2 linked regions of the Cricetulus griseus genome follow. The protein of the gene in region 1 purifies or fractionates together with the protein of each later gene. This does not show direct contact. Links are inferred from orthologs where the notes say so. Each region holds a gene or a part of one and is shown in the gene's direction. Other genes may lie near its edges. The genes, in order: Capza1 and Tnks1bp1.

The links.
Region 2: the proteins of Capza1 (region 1) and Tnks1bp1 purify together in Homo sapiens (affinity purification with mass spectrometry; 3 studies listed by BioGRID and IntAct, with this or other methods). This does not show direct contact. The link is inferred for Cricetulus griseus from reciprocal best matches to the Homo sapiens genes CAPZA1 and TNKS1BP1.

Annotation. Positions count from the first base shown.
Region 1 is NW_023276806.1:52,111,498-52,120,670, forward strand, and holds the start of Capza1 (F-actin-capping protein subunit alpha-1), read left to right. Parts: upstream 1-3,319; 5' UTR 3,320-3,411; coding exon 3,412-3,450; intron 3,451-9,173. Other genes in the region: St7l (suppressor of tumorigenicity 7 protein-like), read right to left, coding at 2,481-2,694. UniProt on the Homo sapiens protein: F-actin-capping proteins bind in a Ca(2+)-independent manner to the fast growing ends of actin filaments (barbed end) thereby blocking the exchange of subunits at these ends.
Region 2 is NC_048599.1:90,484,580-90,494,107, reverse strand, and holds the start of Tnks1bp1 (182 kDa tankyrase-1-binding protein), read left to right. Parts: upstream 1-4,715; 5' UTR 4,716-4,847; intron 4,848-5,357; exon of another isoform or gene 5,358-5,741; intron 5,742-7,117; exon of another isoform or gene 7,118-7,270; intron 7,271-7,586; 5' UTR 7,587-7,601; coding exon 7,602-7,686; intron 7,687-8,638; coding exon 8,639-9,263; intron 9,264-9,528. Other genes in the region: FACT complex subunit SSRP1, read left to right, coding at 998-1,127, 2,081-2,251, 2,371-2,459, 2,967-3,153, 3,369-3,440.

The DNA of each region.
Region 1 (9,173 bases):
AGACAGCTTTTCCATTATTGCAAAACTCAAAATTTCTAAGCTGACCACCCTAGGTCAATAACTGTCTATATTGTTATTATTATTATTATTATTATTTTGGTTTTTCGAGATAGGGTTTCTCTGTGGCTTTGGAGGCTGACCTGGAACTAGCTCTTGTAGACTCGAACTCCCAGAGATCCACCTGCCTCTGCCTCCTGAGTACTGGGATTAAAGGTGTGCGCCACCACCGCCCGGCCTGTCTATATTATTATCTAAAGTGAAATTCATTTAAAAAAGTTATAAAAACAAATGTTATGCATTTTTAAAATAAGTAGCTTTATAACCCCATTGTTTCATATCTTAAGAATTTTCTCATGTATATAAAAGTGGGATTTCATACTGTTGTTTAGTTAAATAAGAAGTAAATCATAATGAGGCTTGGCATGTAAATGGCCCTAAAATCAATCTCCAGGGTCAAAAAAAGAAAAAAAGCTGTGCAGTGGTGGTGGTGGTGGTGGTACACTCCTTTAATCCCAGATCTCTGTAAACTCAATGCCAGCATGGTCTACAGAGTGACCATGGACATTACAGAGTTCCAGGACAGCCAGGGCCACACAAGAAACCTGTCTTGAAAAACAACAGAACAACAACAAAAAAGAAAATCAAAAGTCAAAATGAGATAATTTAACCTGCTTTTCTAAAAATCTAAAACACAAGACATAATCTACACTAGAACTTTAGTAAATATATAGTAATAAGTTAAACATACTTTTAAAAAGTGGTTTAATAGAGTCCAGGATGGTCTCAAACTCACTGAGGATGGAGCTGAGCATGACCTTGAACGACTGATAATCCTGTATCTAACCCCCAAGTGCTGGGATCACAAGCGTGCATCAGCATTCCTGGTTTATGGGTGCTGAGAATTGAACCCAAGCTTCCTGTATGCTAGGAAAGCACTCTACCAAGTGAGCTACATCTCTAGCCCCAATTTTGAGTTAAAAATAAAATGTCTGTAATAATTAACTCTCATCTAAATGGTACATGCAATTAAAAACTTAGAAAATGAAACCAAAGTAGCAGGTTGGGGAGTTCAAGCCTGCAATTCTAGCATTCTGGAGGCTGAGAGGCAGGAAGGACTCTAGCCTGAGGATATTCTGGACTATACAGAGAGATAATGTGTAAGATAATTTTTTTTAAAGACAGGCTAGATAGCACAGTCTTCTAATCCCACCACTTGAAAAGTGATACTCAAAAGATCAGGGGCTCAGGCCAGGCGGTGGTGGCACACCTTTAATACCAGTACTTGGGAGACAGAGGCAGGCAGATTCAGTGAGTTCGAGGCCAGTCTGGTTTACAAAGTGAGTTCCAATACAGCCAGGACTGTTACACGGAGAAGAAACCCTGTCTTGAGGGGAAAAAAAAAAAAAAATCAGGAGTTCAAGGCCAGTCTTGGCTATGTCCTGCCTCAAACCAGCAACAATAATAAGTGGAAAATAAACAACAAACCCAATGAATAGCATTTTAATGAGCATAGAAACCACCATTAAGCACTTCATCCGCCTGTTACAGACAAATAAGATAGGTATGTTACCTATCCTCTAAAATACTCAAAGCATTTCAGAACATTATCCCGCAATCTTTCATGTTATCTCATGGGATAGAAAAGAGAGACCACTGCCTTCTCACAGGATAGAAAAATTAATAGAGTCACCACATAACAGAAATACTTCGTCTTTTGAGGCTGCAGAAATACTTCAATAACATTGTAAAAGGTTCAGGACCCCGTCATTTTATCCCACTATGGCTAAGGAATAGTACTTGCAGAATATAAAAGACTTGCTTACAAGTCTTTATCTTTAGCCTGGGCTACATAACAAACATTGCACAAATGCTGAAAGAGCATACTAAACAAACCCAATGTTGCTTGTGCTTCTCTTCCTCTCCCTTTCCTGTACTCTTTTTATTACTCATGATAAAGTCTGAAAGATAAAAATACCACGAAAAACGTTTCTTAACAGAACTATCTTACACTAGAAGGAAGCATGGTCCTCTGAAATCATAGTATTACAGATAATGCTGATTTTCTGGGTGCGGGTTCTTTAAGCTAGGCGGCTGGAGACTCAAAGGCACTATTTTAAAGGGGGGCTGCAAATAAGAAGAATGTATGTATATAAATTGTGTGTTGGTAACTGCTCTTTTCTGTAAGACAGAAATGCTCTTTTCTGTCTTACTACCTGAAGCTTGCAGCTTGTCAGATAGTTTTTCCTGCGGTAATGTAGGCAGAACAGAGAGAGCGAACCTTCAGAGCTCTAGGGAGGGGCCGGCAAACTGCAGCACAGGTTTGACAATCAGCTGCCCGGTTGTTGTGGCCCAAGGGGGGGGAAAAATAACCCACTGGAGCATGCAACACCAATGCCTTCTCCAAAGCCCTCCACGACTCCCCGAGAATCTCTGCACTTTGGCGCTTGTCCCCGACCGTCCAGGAGGTTTGGGCCTCTCACCCGCTGTCACGTTGTCACACAGCCTCAGCGGGACCCTCAGAGCGTAAAGCAGCCCCAGCCCCGCCAGGAACCACAGCGTGGACCCAGAGTTCGCCAGCCCGGCCTTCAGCCGCTCTTTCCAGCCCAGCGGCGGGCCCAGGCCCAAGCCGGGAACAGGTGCATGGGGACACCCCACAGCCCGCGCGGCTTCCGCGAAGTATTCCCCGTCCGCCATCTTGCGGCTCCGGCAGGCGCCGGGACCTGGGAGGGGAGAAGGGCAGGAAACCCGGAGTTGGGAATCCTGGGATAGTGGCGGACTTGAAGCTGGCCTCTGTCAAGGCTGAGTCCTGGGGACCTGGACAGAGATCGGGAAGGCGACGGAGCGCGACCTCAGACCGAGGCGCCACCTGGTCCTCTAGGAGGGCGGGGAAGGATTCGAAGGTGGCACTTATTCTGCAGGAAACGGACTCAGTGTGGCGCTGGAGGGAAGTGGTTGTGGTTCCCTATGAGGTTGGGGGTCATCTTTCGCCCCGTTCCGGGACTGGAAAAGTACTGGTGTTGCCTAGAGCCGGGCAGCTCTTAGCGCACTGGACTCGGCTGCCTCGGAGACCTGCGGGACCAGGAAAACTCATAGGTGTAGGAACTGCTGCGTGACCAGAGGTAGCCCTGGCGCCACGGACAGTCGAGAGTCGCCACCGAGCTTCCAGGATGGATGGGAAAGTGACTGAAATTCAGTGAGAAAGATGTTAAGACTCCGAGGCCTCGATGGCAAAGCCTACTTTCCTAGAGCGTTGCCACTCCAGGCTGTCACACCCGCGCGGAACTGACATGGCGCCCTTTTGGCCGGAGCTTCCGGGCGGGTCCTTCCGACGGCCCCCTTGGTGATTCCACCACTCAGCTTCCTTCCCGGCCTGCCTCGCGCCGGTCGCCGGGCTGGGCCAGAGCAGCCAAGATGGCCGACTTCGAGGATCGGGTGTCGGATGAGGAGAAGGTAAGGGGTCCGCCTCTCTCCTTTACCTCCTCCCCCGACGGGGCCTAGGGGTCCGAGCCGGCAGCAGTGGGAAGCCTGGCGGTGTCCCCGGGAAAAAAAAAGCCCGTTTCCCGGTGCTGGCATACTCCCTGTGCACCCGGGACGCTTCCTTCCTTAAAGGGGCTTTCCTTTGCCTCACGGTGGCCCCAGTTCCCCATGCCTCAACTCTTTCCATTCTTGATCGAGCACAGCTTTCCTTTAAAAGAGGAGACACTTTACCTGATTGACTTTTAACTGTACTTTCTTTTATATAATTATAAGAGAGGGGATGAAGGTGATGTTGGGACGTGTCAGGCAGCAGCTATTTTACCGCCTTTGGCTGTTGGGGCTCCCCCCTCCCCATTTATAGGTATGATTGGGGTTAGTTTGGGACGAGTCACTTCCTGATCAGAGTTGCCTCCTTAACTTCCCTTTTGCTCCTCCTTCCTCAGGAAGTGATTTTGCTGTCATGACTCCTTGACAGGGAGAGGTCCTCTGTCTGGTATTATCTATCCACCTAACTACACACCCTGGTCTTTTCTCAGCTAGTGACGATTGAACTAATTTGATAAAAAATAAATCTGTAAACCTCAGGGCATTTGCTTAAGAGTTTGACTTTTGTTCCTGCTGCTGCTGTCTTGTGTCCGTGTATGGCCCCAAGGTGACTCCATCCCTTCTGTCTGTCTTAATCTTCTTAACTATAATTTTTTCAAAGTAATTTTGGCTTCCTGTTCAGCGAGGAATAGTAGCCAGTAGACTTTTTTTTTTTCAACTCCAGAAAAGTTTGGTAGTAAATAAACCTCACATTAACACATTTAGTTTAAATGACACACCCAGCCCTTTTTGATGACCTGCTGTGGTGTTTGATAGTTGGGTTTGACAGTGTGCATTGTGTAGTTAGATCTTTAAAGGCGGTTTAAATACAAGGGTGCATTATAAATTAAATGGAATGACTTTTTCTCAAAACAGCAAACGTTTACTAAGCAGTTTGTCCAAAAAAGAAAGAAGTGGCTGGCTCTACAGTAAACACAGCATTTTAGGGTTGGTAGAAGTAGAATGGTCTCACTAGATAACTCCTTATGGGACAAGAACATGTCTTTTGCTTCCTGCAGAGACTGTTACAAAGTGTGTACTCTCCAGTGTTCTATAAAAATCTGCCCAGGTTCTTATAGTAGTGAAAATATTGGAGATTGTTGGGAGGAACAGACTATTTTTGATCACTTCTCCATAAAGAATAACTTAACTTATACCTGTGTATGTGTGGGCCACCATTTTTAAATGCTGAAAATTTGCTTAATGCCTTTACAAACCACTTAACACGTACTGGGACGGCAGTTTCTTGGTAGAGCACTTTATACATGCAGTGTCCTGTGTTTGAACTTCAGCATCAGCATCAAAATAAAAAGCCAACAAATAACACATGAGGGTTGTTTTCTCTTAGGTGGAGATTGAGCATCATAAATGTAAATACCTAGGAAACAAAAAGACAGCTGAATTAACATTAGAAAGAAAACTATAGCAAAATGTTTATTCTAAGGCAAGTACTTTTGGTTCACATAACATCGTTAGAGTGAAATTTTATTCTGTTTCTTGAGACTGTGTCTCGTGTAAGCCTCCAACTCACTATATAGCAAGGATGACCCCCCCCATCCCTAATCCTCTTATCTCAACCTCTCAAGTATTACTGTTATATGCCATCACACTTAGATTTGTTGCTTACTTTTAATGATGATAGAACAAGCCAATAATTAGTAAATCTGCCCCAGAAGTAACCATGAATTTTATTCCTGTTTTAGTAAAGATCTTATTTTTTGTGTTTTGGGGACAGAGTCTTGCTATGTAGCCCTAGCTTGTCTGAAACTTGCTGTGTAGACTGGACTGGGCTCCAATTTGTCTCTTGCTTCTGCCTTCTATGTGCTGGGATTGTAGTCAAACCCCATGATGCTGGGTTTAATAGAGATTTTGGGGGTCTTTTTTTTTTTTTTTTTTTTTTTTTACTACATTGTCTTTATTGGTGTACATAACGAAATGTACTGATACAGTAAAAATCGTTGGAGATTTGAGCCAGGCATGGTGGTGCACACCTTTAATCTCAAGGCTCAGGAGGCAGAGGGTGGTGGATCTCTGTGAGTTCAAGGCCAGCTTCGTCTAAATGTGAATTCTAGGACTACATAGAGAGACCCTTAAGATTTGAGATTACTGTAGTTTTGTTAGATTCCTTTCCTCAGAGTTCACAGGCACATTCATATCTCTCTAAATCTATGAGTAAAAAGAAAGGGCTTTGAAAGACTTCCTGATTTGGGGGCTTCTTACCTTTGCCTGCTTTTCCTTTTAACCTTCAGATTTATTTTATCTGAATTCAAAACTTGAGAAAGGTAGGAAGGCTGGGCCTGATAGTGCCTGTCTGTAATATTCCCAGCTCTTGGGAGGTAAACAGAAAGAGGATTATGAATTTAAGTTTATCCTTGGTAACAGGGAATTTAAGACCAGCCTCAGCTACATGAATGGGACCCTTTCTCAGAAAAAAAACCAAAACAAACAACAACAACAAAAAAAAAAACGCTATTCTGAGAAAAGATTTTTCCAAGATATTTCCTGATTTGTTTACTTAGGGTTGTTGGGGATTTTTTGTTTGTTTGTTTTGAGAAAGTCTGAATTCTGTATCCTAAGCTAATCTAGAACTCACTTATAGCCCAGATTTTAAACTTATGGTGATCCTCTGCTTGGGATTCTCAGTGTTAGGCTTAGAGTCATGAACCACCATGCCCAGCGGTACAGACTAATTTTAAAACCAAGATAAAAAATATTCTTTATCTTTCCTGGCCTGGTAGCCCACACCTGTAACCCCAGCTGTTTTAGAAGATGAGGCAAGAAGATAGAAAAATTTAAGGTCTGTTCAGGCTACAAAGCAAGTTGAACTACAGCTTTGAAAACTTGATGAGACGTCTCAAAAATGAAGTGAAAAAGAAAAAAAGGAATGGGAAATGGGTTGACTATATAGTCAGTGGTAGAGCACTTGCCCAGGATCTGCAAAGCCCCTAGGACCAATTCCTTCTTTAAGGAAATCTAGAATTTCCATTTTCTTCTTTCATGTTGAAGACTTCAAAGTGCATTTTATTTGGGATAGGTATGTTTTGTTTTTGTTGTTCTCTTTTGTTTTAAGTATGCCTGTTATGGTGCCAAAAGGAATAATTTAATATTCTTTATCTTTGTTATGTTTTCAGAAAGCAGTAAACCCTTCCAAAAGTTTGTTGCTTGGGGTCTCTGATTTTTCTTTCGAGCATTTCTTTAAAAGCAAGTAAAGTGATTTTGATAACCAGCTGCCAAAGCTTTTATCACTGTTAAAGAGGAAGTTGGTTTTTTTCACTTCTGCCTTGTTACCTGAAATGGTCAGAATGTGCTGTCTGAAGAAAGCAGGAAGTGAGAAGTGTAGTAACAGGCAGATAAATGCTTCAAGTCTTGGCGTGGAGTTGAGTTTCTGGAGACTATTTTAGGTACTTGTGCTCTTCAGTTAACTTAGTTTTAAAAGTTTACCAAGACCACCAGGTCCTAATTAGGAAGTTTGAGGTGTGCCATGAATTACTTTTTTGAGCTCTCTGCCTTACCTGTTTTCTTTATTTGTGATTCAGCATTGGTTTGTTGGTTTTTTAATTCTCTCCACCCCCCAACAATGAAGAGAATTCTAGGACTGGAAAAAATGATTAGTATGTTTTTCTCTTTAACCTAATGAGTAAAATATGTGTATACACCTTAAGAATTCTGAGAAGTGGGTCTGTGTGCTTTTAATTTAGACGGCAGTGTCCTTTGTAAGGGTTTGTTTGTTTGTTCCATTGGATGTTTGGGCTTGAAGTCTTGTCTTCACATTCTCTGGGCACTCCTCTTTCAGCTTCTTGGGGTGCAGGGATTACCACACATCATGCCTGGCTTAAGGCATTTTTTTAAAGTTTTTTGTTTGTTTGTTTTGTTGTTGTTGTTGTTGTTGTTGTTTTGGTTTTTTTGTTGTTTTGGTTTTTTTTTTTTTTTTTTTTTTTTTTTTGGTTTTTCGAAACAGGGTTTCTCTGTGTAGCTTTGGAGCCTATTCTGGCGCTCTCTCTGGAGACCAGGCTGGCCTCGAACTCACAGAGATCCGCCTGCTTCTGCCTCCCAAGTGCTGGGATTTAAAGGCATGGACCACCAACACCCGGCTGTTTGTTTTGCTTTTAAAGTAAGATATTAGTATGTAGCTCAGGTTAGCCTGGAATTGGATGTGTAACCAAGGTTGGCCCTGTACTGTCTCGGCCTCCAGAATGCTGGGATTACAGGCATAAACTGTTGTGCCCAACTATAAAAGCTGCTGCTGCTGCTTCCTCCTTCTCTTCTTCCTCTTTCTCATTCTTTCTTCTAGAAACAGGTTTATCAAATTGTTTAGTAGAGGTGTAAAAACATATAAATAAGGCCGGTGAGAGATGACTCAGTGGGTAAAGGTGCTTGTTGGATAAACCTGGTAACCTGAGTTCAGTATATGGAACACATGTAAAGATGAAGGGAAAGAAATGACCTCACAGAGTTGTCCCTAATATCCACAAAAAGGCTTTGACAAATGCATCCCCCTCCCTACTTTAATAATAGCAACCGTTTTTAAATCTTGTAAATAGAAGCTAGGATTTATTTAGAGCTCATAAAAATCTACTTTTAGGCTGGATATCCTCAATTATAGACTTTACTGGATGAGTTAAATCCTTGTAGGATGATGTAAGCTCTGAGTCTTATTTACTGAGACTTTCTAAGAAGTCATTAGTTAACATTCATTTTATCATTTTCTTCTTCCTTCCCCTTAGTTAGCTCTGCTGTTAATAGTAGTCTTATAATTCATTACAAAATCTTGAACCAGAACACAAAACCTAAGCAATTATAGTTCATGTGATTATAGGTGTATTATGATTTCTTCTAGAAAATTTAACTGTTTTATTAGAATCAGCCATGGATGCTAAATGTAGTATAATTAGTCAAAAAATGCAGACCCCGGGTTTGTTTGTTTCTCAGCGGTTCCTAAGTGTTAGGAGACTGTCGGAGGGCCTGGTTCCTTCTAAACTGGGGAGAATTAGGTCAGAGTGCTCCAACAAGGTTTACTGAACATTTTTCAGTCTAATAAATTTCTCTTTAAAAAATTGAAACATTAAAATGTTCCAGAGGTTCTTAGATTGTCTGCCTTCCTTTGCTTGCTCTGATAATACACAGAGTTAGTTTCTTGATAATTGGAATCATGCCTTTTTATCTAGTGCTTAGCACAGCACCAAGAACACAGTGTAGTTATAGAAAAAGTCCAGCTTTGTTAATTCCTCCCTTGGTTCTTACGAAGTACACTTTCCCCTAAGTATTTCTGATAGTCTCTAGATGTCACTTCCAAAAATGTCTCTACGGTTTGAGTGCCTTTTTGTGTATCTTTATGTCCAAGCACATGAAGATTTGCAATGGAAGAAAACTTAAATTAAAAAACGAAACCACCATACAAATCAGAAAGACATATAGTCACTCTTTACAGCTGACCGCATGAGTAAGAATACTCAAGGGCCCCAGGTTACTGCCTGAGGCTGCTTTTATGGTTTCTAAAGTAGGGAGGAGTTTGGGTACTAAAGGGTGGCTCTAATTGGTTCCCTGTTTTGATTGACAATCTTGGGTTATATAAGTCTTTGCACACCAGTGTGTCCCATCCCATGATATGTCTG
Region 2 (9,528 bases), on another chromosome or scaffold:
CTTGCTCTATGTCCCTCAGGTCTAGGAAGGTTTAATGTGGATAGCTTAACACCCAGAAGCACCTCTTGGTGAACAGCACAGTGGATAGTGTTGTCTCTGGTCAACTGCCTTCCTGACCTTGAGATAATATATTTGTGGCTCTAATGGAGCAGAACCACCTTAGACTCTGCAGTTAGAATGAGCTCCTTTCCTACAGAAAACTGGGATTGTTGATGTAGAAAGGTGGGGCAGCAAAATCAAAACCAAACTGACCGTCTTTCAGAAGTTCACTAGTTGTGCTGGCAAGGGTTAATAAGGCACAGATGCTTATTACTTGCCTCGGGAGCCTTTCAGTAGTAGGCAAGTACCAGCAGCTGTGTGTCCAGAGGAGATGCGCTTTATTGGACGGGAGAGTCAGACACAGGGACTGGCTTCAGTTGAAACTTGGTTTCCTCCCTTTCAGTCTTTCTTTAGCAGAAGATTGTAGTATAAACTAAGGTGATTTAACCAAAGGGAGTGATGAAGTAGACTTGGTATGCTGCAGGCTAGCAGGAGACAGTATTGAAGGGCAGGAGTGGAATAGAACCTACCTGGCTTAGAGCAGAAGAGCCCACTGAAACATTGGTTTTTTATTGATTGAATAAACAAATAAGCCTTTGTGGTGGCTGGGTCTGGAGAAGGGATATGAAATCATTTTAGTGAAAGGCAGGAAGCTGGGGTGGCAATTAGTGGTGGAGCCTGTCCTTGGGACTTACTCCCTTGGCCCTTTCTGGGCAGATGTCTAGATTCCTTTTACTACTTTCTCAAGACATCTGGCTGGGCAGTGGTAGCACAAGCATTTAATCCCAGCACTTGGAGGCAGAGGCAGGCAGATCTTTGTGAGTTCGAGGCCAGGCTGGTCTACAGGGCGAGTTCCAATTCTGTGTAGCCAGAGCTACACAGAGAAAACCTATCTCAAAATGAAAGAAAAGATCTGTATCCTGCCTTCCTTTCCTGAGTCTAAGCCTTACTCTGGCAGGTTTGACAGCAATGCCTCTGCCAGCTCCTCCAGTAATGAGGGGGACAGTGACCGAGAAGAGAAGAAGCGGAAACAGCTCAAAAGGGCCAAGATGGCCAAGGATCGCAAGAGCCGCAAGAAGTCTTCAGAGGTACAGACTCACCTCTAGATTGGGAGAGTGAGTGTGTGCGTCTCCATTTTCTGTTTTCTTTCTCCTCTCCACTCGCAGCAGGTCCTGTTGGTTGTGCTGCCTTTTGGGTGAGTGTGGCTTTGGTAGATACCGTCTAGGTTTTCTTTTTGGCCCTGAGATACTGTTTCTAGAAGATCTGGGTTTTTTGTTTGTTTGTCCAATTTTAATATTTTTTGACAATTTTAACATACATTCAATGTACTATGATTTTATTCATACCCCCTTTCCCTCTGTTCCCCTCCTTCAACTCCTGAACTAGTCCATCTTTTGCTTTCATGTCTTGTCTTTTTGGTTTGTATCTGATGAGTTTAATTAGGATTGCTTGTATAGCATGTGTAAGACCTTACCAGTGGCTGCCCCGCTGAAGAAAATGACTCATCTTCTCCTAGCAACTGCATGTTAACTGCATGTAGCACCTTAGGAAGGGTGAGCCCTCGTGGTTGCCTCTCCTATCTATGATAGAATATCAGGACCCAATCTTGTATTGGCCTTGGGCAAGTATCCATAGCTGTTGACAGTCACAGCAGCCATGCTGTATCTGGATGGCAGTGTTTCATAGTACTCCTCCCTTTTCTCTGGCTCTTGCATTCTTCCTGCCCACCTCTTTAGCTGTATTCCCTGGGCCTTGGTGATAGAGATATTCCATTTAGGACTGAGCACTCATTTGTAACTTGTTCTTAGTACCATGACAGATGTGAGTCTCTGCATCTGAATTAGGAGACATCCTGCCTCTGCCCAGGGCATCTCTTGGAGAAGGAAAAAGCGGCTAGTCCTGCCCTTAGAGCTGTTCCTGGGTACCCAGTTCCATCTAGTTCTCCCTGCATTTTCCCCCTCCCCAGATGGTTTCCTTGGGGAAACTTAGGATAGTTGAGAAATATGGATGGCTGATGGCATTTGGTTTCTTTCTCATGTAGGCGAAGAAGGGTAAAGATCCAAATGCCCCTAAGAGGCCTATGTCTGCATACATGTTGTGGCTTAATGCCAGCCGAGAGAAGATCAAGTCAGACCATCCTGGCATCAGCATCACAGATCTTTCTAAGAAGGCAGGCGAGATCTGGAAGGGAATGTCCAAAGAGAAGAAAGAGGTGAGTAACAGTGGAAAGGAGTGGTGGTGAGAAGGGCTTTGTGGGGGTGCAGGGTGTGTCACTCATCCATCTGTAGATACAGATTTGCTTGCATCAGTCTAAAGGACTGTTTGTGACAGGAGTGGGACCGAAAGGCTGAGGATGCCAGGAGGGAATATGAAAAAGCCATGAAAGAATATGAAGGAGGAAGAGGTGAATCTTCTAAAAGGTGAGTGTTAGGAACAAAATGGTCCCAATAACTGCTCTTTTTAGCAGATTTTTTTTTCCAGGTTAGAATTGAGAATTGTGGTACATATTTTTGACAGCAGTAAAATAGTGCTTATGCCATTGCCGAGTATAGGTGTTGTATGGAGTTAGGAGATAAATATGGCCCATTTTCCTCGATCAGTTTTATATTCAAATAAATAATGGGAGGGTTTAGAAAAAAGTATTTTGTGAAGCTTAATTCAAAATCCATATGAACTTTTAAACAAAACAAAAGTGCCAGGTAAGTTTTGCATAAGTTGCTTCAGGCCGTGACCCTGGCTCTTCAGGTACTCACGTATGATCCTCTCCTTTGGTGTACTTTGGGCTACAGAGCTGACATTATATTTGCCAGGGTGAGAATAATATGGCCATTACTGGAGACGTCCTCATTAAAGCCAGGAGAAATGTGGCCTATCTGATAATATGGGAAGACTAATGGCCTGGCGTCTTTTCCATTTTCTTAATATAGGGACAAGTCTAAGAAGAAAAAGAAAGTAAAAGCAAAGATGGAAAAAAAATCCACTCCCTCTAGGAGTTCATCATCCAAGTCTTCATCAAGGCAGCTAAGTGAGAGCTTCAAGAGCAAAGAATTTGTGTCCAGTGATGAGAGCTCTTCAGGAGAGAACAAGAGCAAAAAGAAGAGGAGGCGGAGCGAGGTGGGGCAGGAAGTCTGGGCGGTTGAGGGGCATTTGAGTCTGGGGTGGGTAAGACAGGGTTGTGGTTTGTCTGTAAGAGTAATGAGTTAGAGTGGACAGGTGGATTTCTGAGGTTATGGTGAGTGCAGTTGTAGGAGGAACTGGGCATTAGGGACCCTTCACCAAAAAGTGTCTGGGACATTATACCTTTACCTAAGAGACCTCTGGTTTTTCAGGACTCTGAAGAAGAGGAACTAGCCAGCACTCCTCCAAGCTCAGAGGACTCTGCCTCAGGATCTGATGAGTAGAGGAAGAAAATTCTTGTCCTTGCCCTGTCACATCTCCAGGCTTTCTACATAGTTCTTGGACTCTGTGCCATCTGAGTAACTGCTCCTGGTGGCTTCCACTTCTCTGAGGCAGGCATCAAGGGAAACATCTAACCTCAGCTGCTTTGCAAGAATGGCTCCTTGTAATCTGGGGAAAGACTGGGTAGGAGTGCATTCTGTCTGCTCACAGTGCGTTGAAGGATCTAAGTCCTCGGCTCACTTGCCCGACTGTAGGGATAAAGCTGCTTCCTGTCTTATTCAAGTGGCTGCATCAGGGGTCATGTGAAGTCAGGCCTGTAGCTCCTAATAGGGGCCTATTTCTACTTTTATTTTGTATTTCTGGTCTGTGAAGTCAATTTAATAAATGGAACTGACTTTGGAAACCATGTCCTTATGTCTCCTTTCCCACTTTACATGTGGTGTTTACCCTTCTATCCGGACTCTGCAGGGCCCTCCTGCCCAGCTGGGAAGCAAGTCTTGAAGCACATCCTGTCCTTCCTGGCTGGACAAGCATTGGTTTTCACCCTTGTCTGTGAACAATGCCACCTGAGAGTCAAGAAATGAGTGCTGATCTGATTAGGAAGCCTCTCAGAGTTCCACTCCATTAGCCAGCACAGGGGTGGGAGTCGGAGGGGGCGGGGTTCTCAGCTCCATCCTTAATCACTTTAGGAGACAAGGGTCTTATAAGGCTTGAGGTAATAGAATGAGGATCGACTTTCTAGTGCAGGGAGTGGAAACCTGAGTCAGGAGGATGAGTAGTGTGTGAGTGAAGTTAAGTGTGTGAAGGGAGGGCTACAAAATTTCATGTTTGGGAAGTGTATCTAAGAGAGCTCTTAAACAGATAACACGAGGGAAAAAGCTACTCCACTTTCTACTGTGGCTTTCAATCTGAATTTATACACGACGGGTGGCCACGTCGCTTGCGCTCCCAGGAAGACTCAGGTGTAACAGGAAGCCTGTTCAGTCCGCCAGCGGTTCCCTTCGTGCTGCCCGCGCTCTATGGTGCTGTAATCAGTGTAGGCTTAGGGAAAGCAGTCCAGAGCGGTTTCCTCTCTAGGCAGTCATCTCGGTGGCGCTGGGGTAAAATTGCGTCAGTTTCGCCTAAGTCTGAATCAGGACCGGCTCCTCATTTACAAGGTCATGAATAATTATGTGCGAGCTGTGCTTGTTTGCATCTCGTGGGCCGGACTCTGTTTCAGCTTCGGCTTCCCTCTCACGGATTCTTATATGAATATTCATGAACGGCATGGAGGCGTGTCCCTGGGCGGGGCTATGGGAGGGGCCCCGGGGCTTGCACTGGCTCGGTCCCGCGGTGACGGTGGCGGCAGCGGCAGCAGCGGTCACTGGCGTCGGGGTGCCTAGCCGAACGGAGCCCGTCCCGGGGAGCGCGTGAGTGTGCGGCGACGGCCGGAGGGGGCGGGGTCCGGGGATGGGGGCGGGGAAGGGCATGGAAAGAACCGGGCGCCTAGCAGTCCCGACCTCAGATTGGGGCGGCGGCGATGGTGGTGGGGGGGTCACTAGGAAAGTTTGCGAGGGCCTGGGGACGCGGGGGCGCTGCGGAGCTGGAGCGTGTGTGCGGGGGTGGAGAGCACTCGTGCCGGGAGCCAGAAGAAAGCGGGGAGAGGCGAGGGTGGGGCGGGGCCGGGCCGGGGGCGGGCGGAGCTACTCGAGGGACCCCCCCCTCCTGCCTTCACCGGCCCTCTTCCTCAACTCTCATGGCACGCCCCCAGCCACCCCAGGCCGCCCTCACAGTCCTCCTCGCCAGTCCTCGGTCTGTTCCTTCGCGGGCTGCTTGGCATCTCTCACTGTCCCCGCTGCTGCCGCCCCCTCCTCCTCCACCCTCATCTGCTCCTCCTCTTCGCCTGGCCGCTCGATGTCCGTAAGCTCCCCACGGAGGCCCTCCAAACAGCCCCTTGCCCTGGGCTGTTCCGCCTTCCTGTTGGCCCTCCCTCTTCCAACACTTAACCCTCCTGGTCGCACTAGTCGCACATTCAGCAGGAGACCTTTAGGGACGACCCTGCCGGCCCTTAGGGTGCCTGCCTGCCCAGGACTGAGGCTGCCTAGTGCCTTCCCATCCTTTGGGGGCAGCCTTTACTCCCAAGGCTGTCTGGTTTCCCTAGACCATTAAGGGTGCGGAGTTCTTGAGGCACTGCGATTCTGCAGCTTGAGGCCATGGCCTTGGTTTCCTGGGGCTCCTGGCTGGGGCCTCTCTACTGTAGCCACCTCCTCTGTCTTCATCTCTGCAGCCCCTTATAACCTCAGAGGTGTCCATCAAGCCCACAGGTGAGAGGATTTTTTTTTCTAGACTAGTTTTTCTTCATTTCTAACCACCCACACCATATCCCTTGTAATAATGTTCAAGGACAAGGAAGCAATCTTGTGTATTTTTAATTTTATTTTTTCCTGTCACCCCCTCCCCCCCCACACACGTTATTCTCCCACGCACAGCCCGTGGTAATTGGCTGATCAGAGATTGACATTGTCACAGTTTCTCTCCATACCCTCTTCGAAATAAGCTGGGACAGGGTCAAGGGGATGGGGATGCCTTTTGCAAAGACTGGGCACCACAGGTCGTTTTTAGCATTGAGAGCTATCTTCTCAGACCAGTTGGAGTGGGAAAGGGACTTTGAGGTTGCAACACAGTGAGGGTTGGGTTGCCCCTCCAGGGTTGTGTGCATTCCGTGTGTTAGGCAGCTTCTCCCTTGCTTTTGAACCTCAGGGGCAGTGCTTGCTATTCATCAGGTAGCAGAGCCTGAGGGGGCCTTGTGGGTGGGAGGGTGCATCAGCACCCAGGGTGGGAACTGAGGAGGTGGAGTGCCTGAAGAACTGATGACTTGGGGTCATGAAGGACTGGTCTAGGAATGCAGCCTAGGGTAGGGGGAGAGTTATAGGTGGTTACCAAGGATGTTAGTTAGCTCATTAGTGACTCCGAATGTAGTCACATTAATAGTGGCCAACTGTTACTTATCACTTCCATGCTTGGTATTTTGCATGCATTATTTGGCTTGAAACTCAAGTCTTAATACCCCATTTTTCAGATAGGGAAAAGTCACACAGCTTTAAAATGGTAGACCCACTTAGCTGTTAAATCTGTTAATATCAGATTCAGAAGCTCATGTGACAGGCTACTACTATGTGGCTGTCATCTGGTTTAATTTCTTCTGGTCCCTCAAAACTCCTTCTGGCCGTTTCCAGGCTAGTGATCCACACATATTCCTATTTCACAGTCTATGCAGGTCCCTCCCTGACTGTCCTGGAAGGCTGGACCCTGAGGAGTTTTCCTCCAAGTCAAGCCTCCCACCCCCACCCCCCGCCCCCCAATCAAGTCCAGTCTGTCCTCTCCCTGCCCATCCTGGGCCGGCTCCTCCTTCCCTTTGGCTAGGCCCTGGAAATCCAGTGGGAGGCCATTGCTATGGTAACAGGACTAGGCCCTGGCTTTACCTCATCAAATTCCAAGCTGAAGCCAAAACGATTGAGAAATTAAAGGAAAAAAATGTATTCCAGATGTTTACTTTTTATTTCTTATTTCCCCGTGTTTGGATGAGACAGCTCTGAGAGAAGGAGGAGGGGGCAGGGATGTGAAAGGAGAATGGGGAGAAGGGGGTAGGGAGCCACTCCCAGCCCATAGAGGGAGGGAGGAGACTGGGAAGGGGGGGGCGGCAGTGGGGCGGAGCCCCAGGTCGGGGAGGAGCGGGTTTTTCCCGTCTCCCATGAGGTGATTCCCGAGACTTGAGACTTTCCGGCCCTCTTACCCCGCCTGGAGTGGATACCTCTAGTGGGGCTGCCTGACCAAGAAGGGTGTCTTGGGAACTGTAAGTAGGGTGTCACAGGAGGGTGCTTGGGGATGTTGTGAGTGAGGTGGCTCTCATGCTCCAGATCTCTGAGGTTCAGAGCCAAGAGTTGGAGAGTTGTAGCAAGGATGTGGCTGTGGGGTCCTTCCCCACCCCGCCTGTGGGGACCTCCCCGACCTCCTCCTGGAGTTCTCTCTTCCTGTCCCACACAGCCTGGGTTAGAAATAGACTTCCTTGGCTAAGCCTGTTGACTCGCCCAGCTCTTTTCCTTCTCCACCTCCCCCTTTCCTGGGTCGACAACCACCCCAACTTATACTGCTTCTCCTTTCTCAAACAGGGTCTGCCACATGTGATGAAAGTCGGGGAAAGCACGGCCATGGCTTCCCCACTGCCCCCGGAGATGGGGGAGGAGCTGGCGCCTGTTGGCTCTGAGCCAGGTACCAATGGGTGATGGGTGCAGGGTGGGGCTGGTGACTGGGAGGGTGGAGAGGGTAGAGGCTGCACCCCTATTCTGTCCTGCCAGGTAGTTGAGTGACAGTTGTGTTGAGGTGAGAGGCAGCCAGTGTGAGATGAGTGCTGAAGGGCCTTGGGACCTGGTGAGAGTGAGATAGATCTCCAGCCGGTATGAAAGCAGAATCCTTGAGATGGGTCCAGTAATTCTTTGAGAAGCTGACACTGAGGCACAGGAGAGGTGGACTACATTTCTTTCTCCCTGTCTAGACTTTTTTTAATGGTTAGCTGAATGAGTGGGTGATACAGGATTCTATTATAGAAGGGTTGTGGCCATGAGTAATTCCCAAGGTCTTTTATTTGGCATTAGAATGCCTTATATAGAAGGTAGACTTCTGCCCCCCCCATTTCTTCCTGTGGTAGATTTACTTCTGTTTGACATAGGTCAATAATAAGTTTGCATTCCTGATCATGAACCAGATGACCTTGAGGAGGTGGCCTGGGAGTGTGCAGGGAGACACGGGGAGCTCAGCTAGGATCAACAGTTCACTATGGAAATACGGTACATAGGGCCCTATAAAGAAATAGGGCTAAATTGGGTTCCCAGGCTGACTGCCTCCTAGGGTCAGGCCGATGAATGTACTCATTTGCTCATTTATTTGATGGGAACCTGTGCTAGGTACAAAATAGGATGCTAGAGAAAGAAGGTGTTATAGCCCCCATAAATAGCTTTTAAGAAGGGGAACTTGTAAACATTGTGTAAGTTTGGAAAAGGTAGGCTACATCTGGGATGTAAAAAATCATGGAACAAGCAGTGCGTGCTAGAACCTAGAAGGACACCCTGTGAGGTTGGAGGGTTGGAGATTTGGTGCAACAGGAGTCACCAAAGTTTGTTTCATGATTCTTCTGACAGTTCCAATGAATCCTTCCTTTTGATAGGTGACCCTCGGGCCAAGCCCCCTGTTAAGCCCAAGCCCCGGGCCTTATCCAGCAAGCCAGCTCTGCCTGCCAAGCCTAGCCTCCTGGTTCCTGTTGGGCCTCGGCCTCCTCGGGGTCCCCTGGCTGAGCTGCCTTCTGCCAGGAAGATGAACATGCTGGCAGGACCCCAGCCCTATGGTGTCAGCAAGCGTCCCTTCCCATTTGCACCAAGGCCTACAGCTGACGCACCTGCTGGAGAAGTTACCCAAGAGTCTGGGAAAGAGGACGCTGGGAAAGAAGACTTACCTCCTTTAACACCCCCAGCTCGGTGTACTGCCCTGGGAGGTGTGCGAAAGGCCCCTGCCCCCTTCCGTCCCTCCTCTGAGCGGTTTGCAGCCAGTACAGTAGAAGAGATCTTGGCTAAGATGGATCAGCCTCGGAAGGAGATCCCTGCTAGCCCTGACCGCCTCTGGGGCTCCCGCCTCACTTTTAATCATGATGGAAGCTCTCGATATGGCCCCAGGACCTATGGTACCCTTGGACTCAGAGAGGATGATAAGACCCCTGCCAAGGCCCCATCCCAGGAAGGGACAGCAGAGTCTCCAGCAGAATGCCAGGAAGAACATAGCAAGACTCCCGTGGAGAGGTAAGGGCTAAGGAGAGGTAAGAAATTTTGAAGGGGCTAGGGAGCAAGTGGGCTCCAGTTTAGGGGTTTGCCTTCACTGTTAGATTAATTATATGAACACAGATCAACCCAGTCTGTGTCCCAGAGCATCTCTGTAGCAAATGATGGTGTTATGCTCTCTCTTTGAGTGTCAACAAGTGCTTTATCACTGAGCTACATCCCCAGCCCACCATAATTCTCTTTATAAAGAGCTGATGCACATTGTGCCAAAGAGTCATCGGGTTCA